2 linked regions of the Xenopus tropicalis genome follow. The protein of the gene in region 1 purifies or fractionates together with the protein of each later gene. This does not show direct contact. Links are inferred from orthologs where the notes say so. Each region holds a gene or a part of one and is shown on either strand. Other genes may lie near its edges. The genes, in order: arid4b and sap130.

Evidence for each region.
Region 2: the proteins of arid4b (region 1) and sap130 fractionate together in Homo sapiens (co-fractionation; 4 studies listed by BioGRID, with this or other methods). This does not show direct contact. The link is inferred for Xenopus tropicalis from reciprocal best matches to the Homo sapiens genes ARID4B and SAP130.

Annotation. Positions count from the first base shown.
Region 1 is NC_030681.2:55,944,254-55,948,844, reverse strand, and holds the start of arid4b (AT-rich interactive domain-containing protein 4B), read left to right. Parts: upstream 1-1,597; 5' UTR 1,598-1,992; coding exon 1,993-1,994; intron 1,995-4,591. UniProt on the Homo sapiens protein: Acts as a transcriptional repressor. May function in the assembly and/or enzymatic activity of the Sin3A corepressor complex or in mediating interactions between the complex and other regulatory complexes.
Region 2 is NC_030681.2:125,400,730-125,404,551, reverse strand, and holds part of sap130 (histone deacetylase complex subunit SAP130), read left to right. Parts: intron 1-1,221; coding exon 1,222-1,343; intron 1,344-2,019; coding exon 2,020-2,343; intron 2,344-3,317; coding exon 3,318-3,495; intron 3,496-3,822. UniProt on the Homo sapiens protein: Acts as a transcriptional repressor. May function in the assembly and/or enzymatic activity of the mSin3A corepressor complex or in mediating interactions between the complex and other regulatory complexes.

The sequences.
Region 1 (4,591 bases):
GAAAAGCTGAACTTAAACAAGAAAGGCGGTTTTTCACTCTACTGCACATGCGCCGGCCCAGGGATTTTGCCAGCAGAAAAAAGAGGAAGGAGGAAGCGCTCGCTACAGGTACCCCGGGCTGGTGCAGTTTTCTCCTAACAGGGGCACCAGCTGGGGTAAAAGGTAAGCGATTAAAGTCACTGGGGGGTGCCTAACATTTTGGCACCCCCAAGTGACTTAGCCTTTCATCACTAGCATAGGCAGAAAATAAAGATTTAGGAAGAATAAACCTCTGCATAAAGTAATGAACCACTATATATTAATACATGATACATATTATTAATATCCTGTACATGATATTTATATATATATATATATATATATATATATATATATGTGTGTGTGTTTGTTTGTACTTAGTAATGTCATCAGTGCTCAGTGATGCTCACTGAAACGTGTGTTTTATAATAAAAAAATATAATATCAAATAATAGAATTTAAAAATATAATATGTAAAAAATAAATAAAAAAATGCACCCCTATTGTAAAATATGAAGATATTTCAAGTCAACTCAGAGTTCCACGACCTGCGATACTCTTTGGTAACTTATAATATCCTTATATTTTACAATAGGGGACACATTATTCACTGTATAATTATAGGTAGCCGTTCTCCAATGGTAAGTGTTAAATTAATATCTTCCCCTCAAAAATGTCACCATTCTACCATGATCATTAGAGTGTGCACAAAACTCCCACTTTCTATAATTCACTCTCTTTAGTCAGAAAAGGCTAGCAGCATTAACTGTAAAAGTGAATTATTCATATATTATTAATATAGTCATATTATAAAATGTTACAAATATGTTATTATACAACAAAAAAAAAGTATTTGCGTGTGCTACACGTCATTCAATAGGCTCTATGATTTGCAATAAGCAGCACTAGCAAAATTCCAACAACACAGGCTAGAAGGGCCAAATTGCCTTTATACATAAACTTATAAACCTGAATCTCATCCACTTCTGTCGATCACTGAGAAGCAATGGCCAAGGGATGTACAGGTCAGTTTAGGCGAACAGAGTTACACACCCCACAGCGATAGAGACAGATGGATCACCCTCAGTCGTAGACACTTACCTTGTAATGTAATGTTTACACTTGTGATTTCCCAGGTCTAACCGAATCTAAACCTGTGTGTATGGGCAACAGCAGCAGTACCTCCTTACACGTATCCTGTCAGCGAAAGCAAACGCTTTTTTCCGCTAACGAAGCTCCACACCCAAATAGGAACCCGCCCGGCTCCCTCATTCGCATTCACAACTACAGTACGCATTGATCCAAGCCGTATGCGCAGGCGCATACCTTGTGCCTCTATAAAAATAGCTTTACCGCACCGACAGTTTGCACTGCCTTCTGGGATATGTAGTTCATTAAGCGCAAGGCTTCATGCTCTGAGGGGTGTCGGTTTACAGCCTGAACTAAATTCCCCATCATCCTTCACTTAAGTGAGCTAACCTTTCCCTTAGATTTGCTAAGAGCCAATTGGAAAGAAAAGGCGGTCGCTCTAACTAGAAAGGCTACCCAATGAGAGACTGCAGAGGGAGGATGATGCTGACAGTTAGTCCAGTCGGTGGGAGGAGCTAGCGGTCTGGATGACGGAACGGGCCGTTTGTCCGGTGGGGGGTGCAGAGTGAATCTTCGGGAAGAAGCTGAACGAGCTGACAAACCTGCTTTGTCACTTTGCAGGTGCCCTGGCGCCCACCTGGGCACTGCTGGGGATACCGAGAAGCATTGGTGTCGTGGAGCAGGTGGGGGGGAGGGAGGTGACTTGTTGTGTTGGGATAACGCTGCCGAGCAGCCGTCGCTGACTGAAGAGGAGAAGGAGGTGGCGGCGGCGGCTGCAGCTTAATCCGTTGAGGGTTAAGATACCCGAGTTTGAGAGCTTTCAGGGACGCATCAAGGCTCTGCTGAAGAAAGGAAGAGACGTACCGCCGCACCGAGCATCCACTCATGTAAGAGTCATTTCTTTCCTCTCTCTGCTTTCAGTATTGGGAAAACACGCAACCCCCTGCCGGGATGCAAGATACCCGGAGAAGCAGCATCAGGAGGGTGCATGGCACAGGCGCTTTATGCTAGATGCCGCTGCATAGGGTTCATGTGTGGATTTTTCGATAGTTTATTCTTGGCTTTAATCCAAACATGCTCAGACCTGCGACCCTCCAGCAGTTGTTGATCTATAACTGGCAGTTCCTCTTCCCTAAGCCTTTAATAGTCAGGGAGAAGGCTATGAGGGAGGTGGAAGACATAGTTTAACAACAGCTGTCAGGCTCGCAGGTTAGACGTCCCTGCTTCAGCCCCATGTCCTAGTGCCCTTCCGCTGGTATTGGTGTCGAGCTTCCTCTTGTTCTGTGCAGCCGGTTACAAGCTGCATTTCCTATCTCCCCGTCCTCACATGCCCCCCAAAGGTGTACGTGCCCTGTTCTCTCTTTCTGCTGCACACGTTCCGCTGGCTGCATTGTACATTGTTAGTGCATCGGGCGGGGGTAGTGCATGGTGTTTGCAGTCCTGCAGCAACATCTCCCGTGCTCACAACTCGACAAAATGCCGGCTTTCAGCCGGGTACCAAGTAGCATCCACATGGTGTGTTAGAGCTCTCTTTGTATCCAGTTAGGAACACAGCTGTCTATGTTCAGCCCTAGCCCAAAGTTTTTGCTTATGTACTTGTTCTCTTGGGCAGTAAAGCTGGGGAGAAGCGCAGTCTCCCGTTTGACTGGTGTCGAATTTCAGCTACTAGCTTCTCCAACCCCTCGAGTTGCTGGTATTTCTATTCAGCATATTGTAGGCTTGCAAGGGTACCCAGTACTACGATTTTCGTAAACGTTAGCTGTCAAGGCAGCCTTGTACCCTACTAGACAGGCCGGCTTCCTATAGATCTGCAGTAACCTTGCGTGTGGTTACCTGGCAAATACAGCTCCGTGTACATCGAGCAGGCGTATAGATGCCAGTGCAGCTTCATTGCAGCCTTAGGGGAAAGTTACAGAGTAAGGACGCTGCAGCCCGCGTTATATCATGCTGCAGCTTAATGGTATGAGAGCGGTACAACATGGCAGAGCGATATCAGTAACAGCGGAACGAAGAAGTGGTGCTGTTTTTTGTCATGTGACTGGCATCTCCCGGCGCCGCGCTATGCAGCCACTGGCAGGTGTCTGTTGCTCAGCCTTCTCCGCCCTTTGTTTTTTTTTTTTTTTTACTCCTACGTTGTTATTGTTGCTTTTTCCAGTCTTTTTCTTGCTTATTTGCCGTTGATGCATCTTTAGTTGCACTGTTTACGCCCCAGTCTGATTTTGTTCATCTTCCCAATACACTTGGCCCGGGGACAGAAATGGCGTCATTTGTTGAGTTAGCATTGTAATGTGGAAGCATTTATCAACAGTACTAAAGATGAGGCTGTAGAAGCGTCGGTGCAGCAGCTTCAGTACACAAACAGCCTTAAAATTGATACAATGCCGATCAAGCTAAAATGCAGATGCTACATGTTTGCTTCCTGAGCGGGGAGGACAGTTGCCTACTTGATACATAGTGTTGCTCTGTGTTTTCTTTGTTTAAGGTGTTAACCGTTTGGCTCTCTCATCGTATAGCTTTAAGCATCTTTATCTCTTTCCGTCTATTTCCATTATGTGTGAGCTACATTACTATATGCAGTCGGATTTGAAGCTGAGTCTGTTATAGTTATTAGCGTTTTTTTAATGCTATAATAGTTTTGGGGTAGAGGAGAAATATTTGTTCTATAAGAAAATTCACTTATGTCTTGATGGCTCTTTCAATACTTGTTGAACTATAAAATAAGACTATATAATGTCGAAGTCATTGTCAAATTATTGCATTTTGTTTGTCTTTTGTGGCAGTAATAATAACTGTACAACACTGTAGCTGCTAAAAATCTGTATTAGCTGTCAGAAAATCTCTAATTCCTCTTGACTGGGGACAAAACTCTCTTCTGTTTGCTATATAATGGTACAGTAATACAGTATGCAGTGTCCAGGCTTGCATCAATCTCTTTTCCAAGTATGTAATTAATAGTGATAGGAACAAGCATTTCAATGATGTGAAATGATTGAAGGTTCCAGCACTCCAGTCTTTCCTGTGATCAGAACATATTTTGAAATGTTTCCACTTAAATTATTTATTATTTAATTATTAAACCCCTGCATGCAAAGACCAAAGCAGTGCAAGTTGCATTTATCAGGATGTCCTATTAAAAACAAAAGAAAGAAAACAAAGCTCTGGTATATGCAATGCTGTTGAAATCTGTTTGTTTTATTTATATACTTTACAAGTAACATATTATGTATATAACATTATGGGGGGTTGCTAAAATGCAATTTTCTCTCTCATTTTTATTCATTTTTTTTTAAATTGAATTCACAAAAAAAAACCCTTTCCTTGAATGGTCGTCATTTCACAAAAATCCGAACTGGAAAGTAAAAATAGGGAAAAGTTGGAAAAAAGTTTTGAAAACTGCAACTTATCACATGATAACCTTGACTTTTTCTTAATGTCGCACAAAAGCCAGAATCAAACACCTGAAAACCAGGAAGCAAAGAAACAT
Region 2 (3,822 bases), about 69 Mb from region 1:
CCAGGTGCATGACCTTACATTTATCCACATTAAATCTCATCTGCCACTTAGGGCTCTGGCACACGGGGAAATTAGTCGCCCGCGACAAAACTCCCTGTTCGCGGGCGACTAATCTCCCCGAGTTGCCATGACCCGCCATCCCACCGGTGGGATGGCACACGTGGCGGCGCGATTTCCCAAAATCGCCGAAAAAGACTTGCGAGTGCATGACCTTACATTTATCCACATTAAATCTCATCTGCCACTTAGCTGCCCAGATTGCCAGTTGGTCAAGATCCTGCTGCAGGGATGTCACATCCTGGTTAGAATTGACTGGTCTGCAGAGTTTTGTGTCATCTGCAAACACTGATACATTACTCATAATACCCTCCCCTAAGTCATTTATGAACAAATTAAACAAAAGTGGACCCAGTACAGAACCCTGAGGGACCCCACTGAGAACCTTATTCCAAGTAGAGAATGTGCCTTTAACAACCACCCTCTGTACCCGATCCTATAGCCAGTTTTCTATCCATGTGCAAATGACTTCACTAAGACCAATAGACCTTAGCTTAGAAAGCAGTCGTTTGTGGGGAACGGTATCGAATGCTTTGGCAAAATCCAAATAGATTATATCTACTGCATCCCCACTGTCCAGCTTCTTACTTACCTCATCATAAAAAGCAATTAAATTGGTCTGACATGACCTGTCCTTCATAAAGCATGTAAAAAGTTCGGATCTAAAATCAGAGATGATCCCATGTGGGCTTTAGGATAAACAAATTACATACTGCCCTGAATGTTTTCCTTTTTCTCTATCTTTGCCTTTGGTAAATGAGGCTAGAAAAAAGGAGGTTTGTAAGCTTTAATAAGCAGGTTCCTCTTACCACCTGTATGGATCAGTGTTTGTGTGTAGTTAAATGTATTCTTATTCTGTTTTACTGTGTAATGGAATATGATGATCCTTATAAATGTCTGTAAAATATAATAACAGAAACAAACAAGAATTGAAAACCACTTATCTAGGAATGCATCTATCATTAGTCTGACATTGAATATAAGTAGGTGTACACTTGGGGAGAATTCTGAGACAAAAATAAAAAAAAGAATCTAAAGGAAAGAGAGAGGTGTCTTACACATGTACACAAACTCATGCATACACATTATTTCCTCTCACTTCTTGTTAAAATTTACCCTTGGTCAGATATATCTTTTAATCAGTAACCTTTTTGTGTTTTGCAGACAACCTGTTCCAGTGCAGTTACAGTACTTTCTACCAACCTATCCTCCGTCTGCATATCCCCTGGCAGCACACACTTATACCCCCATTACTAGCTCTGTGTCCACCATACGACAATACCCAGGTTAGTATCTCAGGAAAACATTTAGGGGGAATAAAAGTGGGTATATTAAAATAAAAAGCTGCTGTTAAATAGTTTAATGTGGTGAGAGATATATACACACAAATATACAAACACATGTACAGTAAGTATACCACTCAACAGGTCATATTATTGTGACAAAAATATTTTATAATAAAATAAAAAAAAATTGTTGAGTGCTATACTTACCTAGTGTATATTGTTTCAGTTATTAGCACCCAGGAGTTTAAGTAATAGATTACAACAATTGATGGAAACGATTGTTGAAACAATTGTGTATTTTTGTGTCAAATAATTATTCATTTGTTAAGGTGCCCATACATGCACTGATATTATCGTATTGTATGATAATGTATGTTGGATTGACGAGGTGACCAATATCACAAAAGCCTTGGATAGTGGTTGTTTCGTCAGTTGGGTGGGACAGAAAATTTTGATTGGGTGCCTTTGAAGGTGCCCGAGCAAGCATTTAGCCCTGAATTATCAGATAGGGGCAGAATTTCTATTTGTTTTTACCTCCAAATCTGACTATTCAGCTCTCAACATTAGTGGAGGGTACGAACAATCTTTTTCCTGCGACCAGTGGTTGCAGAAAAGATTGTAATGTGTATGGCCACCTTTAGAAGGTAATTTGGCTAACTTTTATTTTTTTTTTTAGTTTCAGCTCAAGCTCCAAACTCTGCCATCACGGCCCAGTCTGTGGCTTCCACAGTCCACCTGAATCCAATGCAGCTGATAAACATGGACACATCACACACACGCCACATTCAGGGAATCCAGCCTGCTCCAGTTAGTGCACAGGGGATACAACCATCTCCTTTTAGTGCACAGGGCATCCAGGCAACACCTATAAATACCCAGGGAATCCAGCAAACTTCAATTAACACCCAGGCAATCCACCCTGCAACATCAATAACTAACCAGGGAGTTCAGACCTCTTCAGTCAGCTCACAGCAAGCTCCAAATGAACCAAAGGCTTCTGGTAATGATATATGCTATTCCATGCAATGGTACCACAAAGCACAGGAATGATTTAATGAGGATGTGTGATGATTGATTCTTAGAATAAGCTTAATAATCTGTTCTGAAACGTTTTTCCTTAGGTGCATTTATTCTTACTTTCAGTGTAGCATCCGCAGCAAGTGTGTGCATTTTGGCATATTAGTTAATGATGTGCCAAGTCTTACTATGCTATGTCTGTATGAATTGCACTCTCCGGTGACAAATATTGATAATGGATATTCCTCTGGTCCTCTCCCTAGACAGGGCTAGACTTTTGTAAGATTGAAAAACACTATACAGGCCCACATGGGCAGTTCATTTGAATTTCCATGCAAATATATGATAGATATGTCCCACTGCCACAGAGCTGTCTGAGATCATTGCTGCTATACCCTTTTTTCACTCATTAAGCACATAAATGTAGAAGTCCTCCTGCTAGTGTAGACGTCATTTCTTTCCTCTTTCTTTCTTTACTAATCTCTTTTTTCTTCATCTTTATCACTCAATACTCACCAATTAAAAAAAAATATTGTAATTTAAATGAAACATATTGGTGCTTTGTTTGCATGTGTTTTCATAGCTGTACTTTTCACCTCTGAAAAAAAAAAAAAAAACCCCCAAAAAAACTTAAAGGTGAAGAGAAAACCCGGCAGAACTACTCTACCCTGCGTGTGTAGAATGTGAAGCGCCAAAGGATAGAAGATTGAAGGCGCAGAGATGCCGGTGCAGTACAGGTAACTTTTCCATGGGCCGGTGCACTTTTCTCTTAACAGCAGCACCAGCCCAAGGAAAAGCTTAGCAATCTATTTCACTAGCAGGGGGTGCCTAATATTTTGGAACCCCCCCCAAGTGAAATAGATTTTTAATGTCCTTTTAATGTTGTCAGAGTTTGATTTTTACATATGTGTAGCTCTGGTTTAGATTTCAGCTGATCTATACTACTTTCCACTACAGTTGTACTTGCTGAGGGTGCCACAATTGTTGCAAATCCAATAAACAGTACTTTCAGTGCCACACCTGCTGGCACTACAGTTATGCAGAGCCACAGTCAGAGTCCTGGGATCAGCAGTTCCCCTGCACAGGGGTCCTCTCCTCGACCCAGCATCCTACGAAAGAAACCTGCAACTGATGGGTGAGTGCTAAGGATTAAATGTGGCATGTGTGTAGCGTGTTAACACCAAGCCCCAGAAGGCATTGTATGGGGCCAAAATTAGGCACATGTTCGGGCTGATTTAAAAATCCTGTCGTAGGCGCTCCTCATCACAACCGCTTAAATCCTTTTAATGTTAATGTTTATCCCTCAGCCCAAATAATTCGATCAATCTAATGTCACCAAGGTGGGCATATCAGGGCGAGGTCAACAACCGTGCACATTTTTTTAATGTATGGCCACTGTAGTTTCACTGGGGCAATTTAGAACCTATGTTACATTTTACACATTGATATGATAAAGTGCATT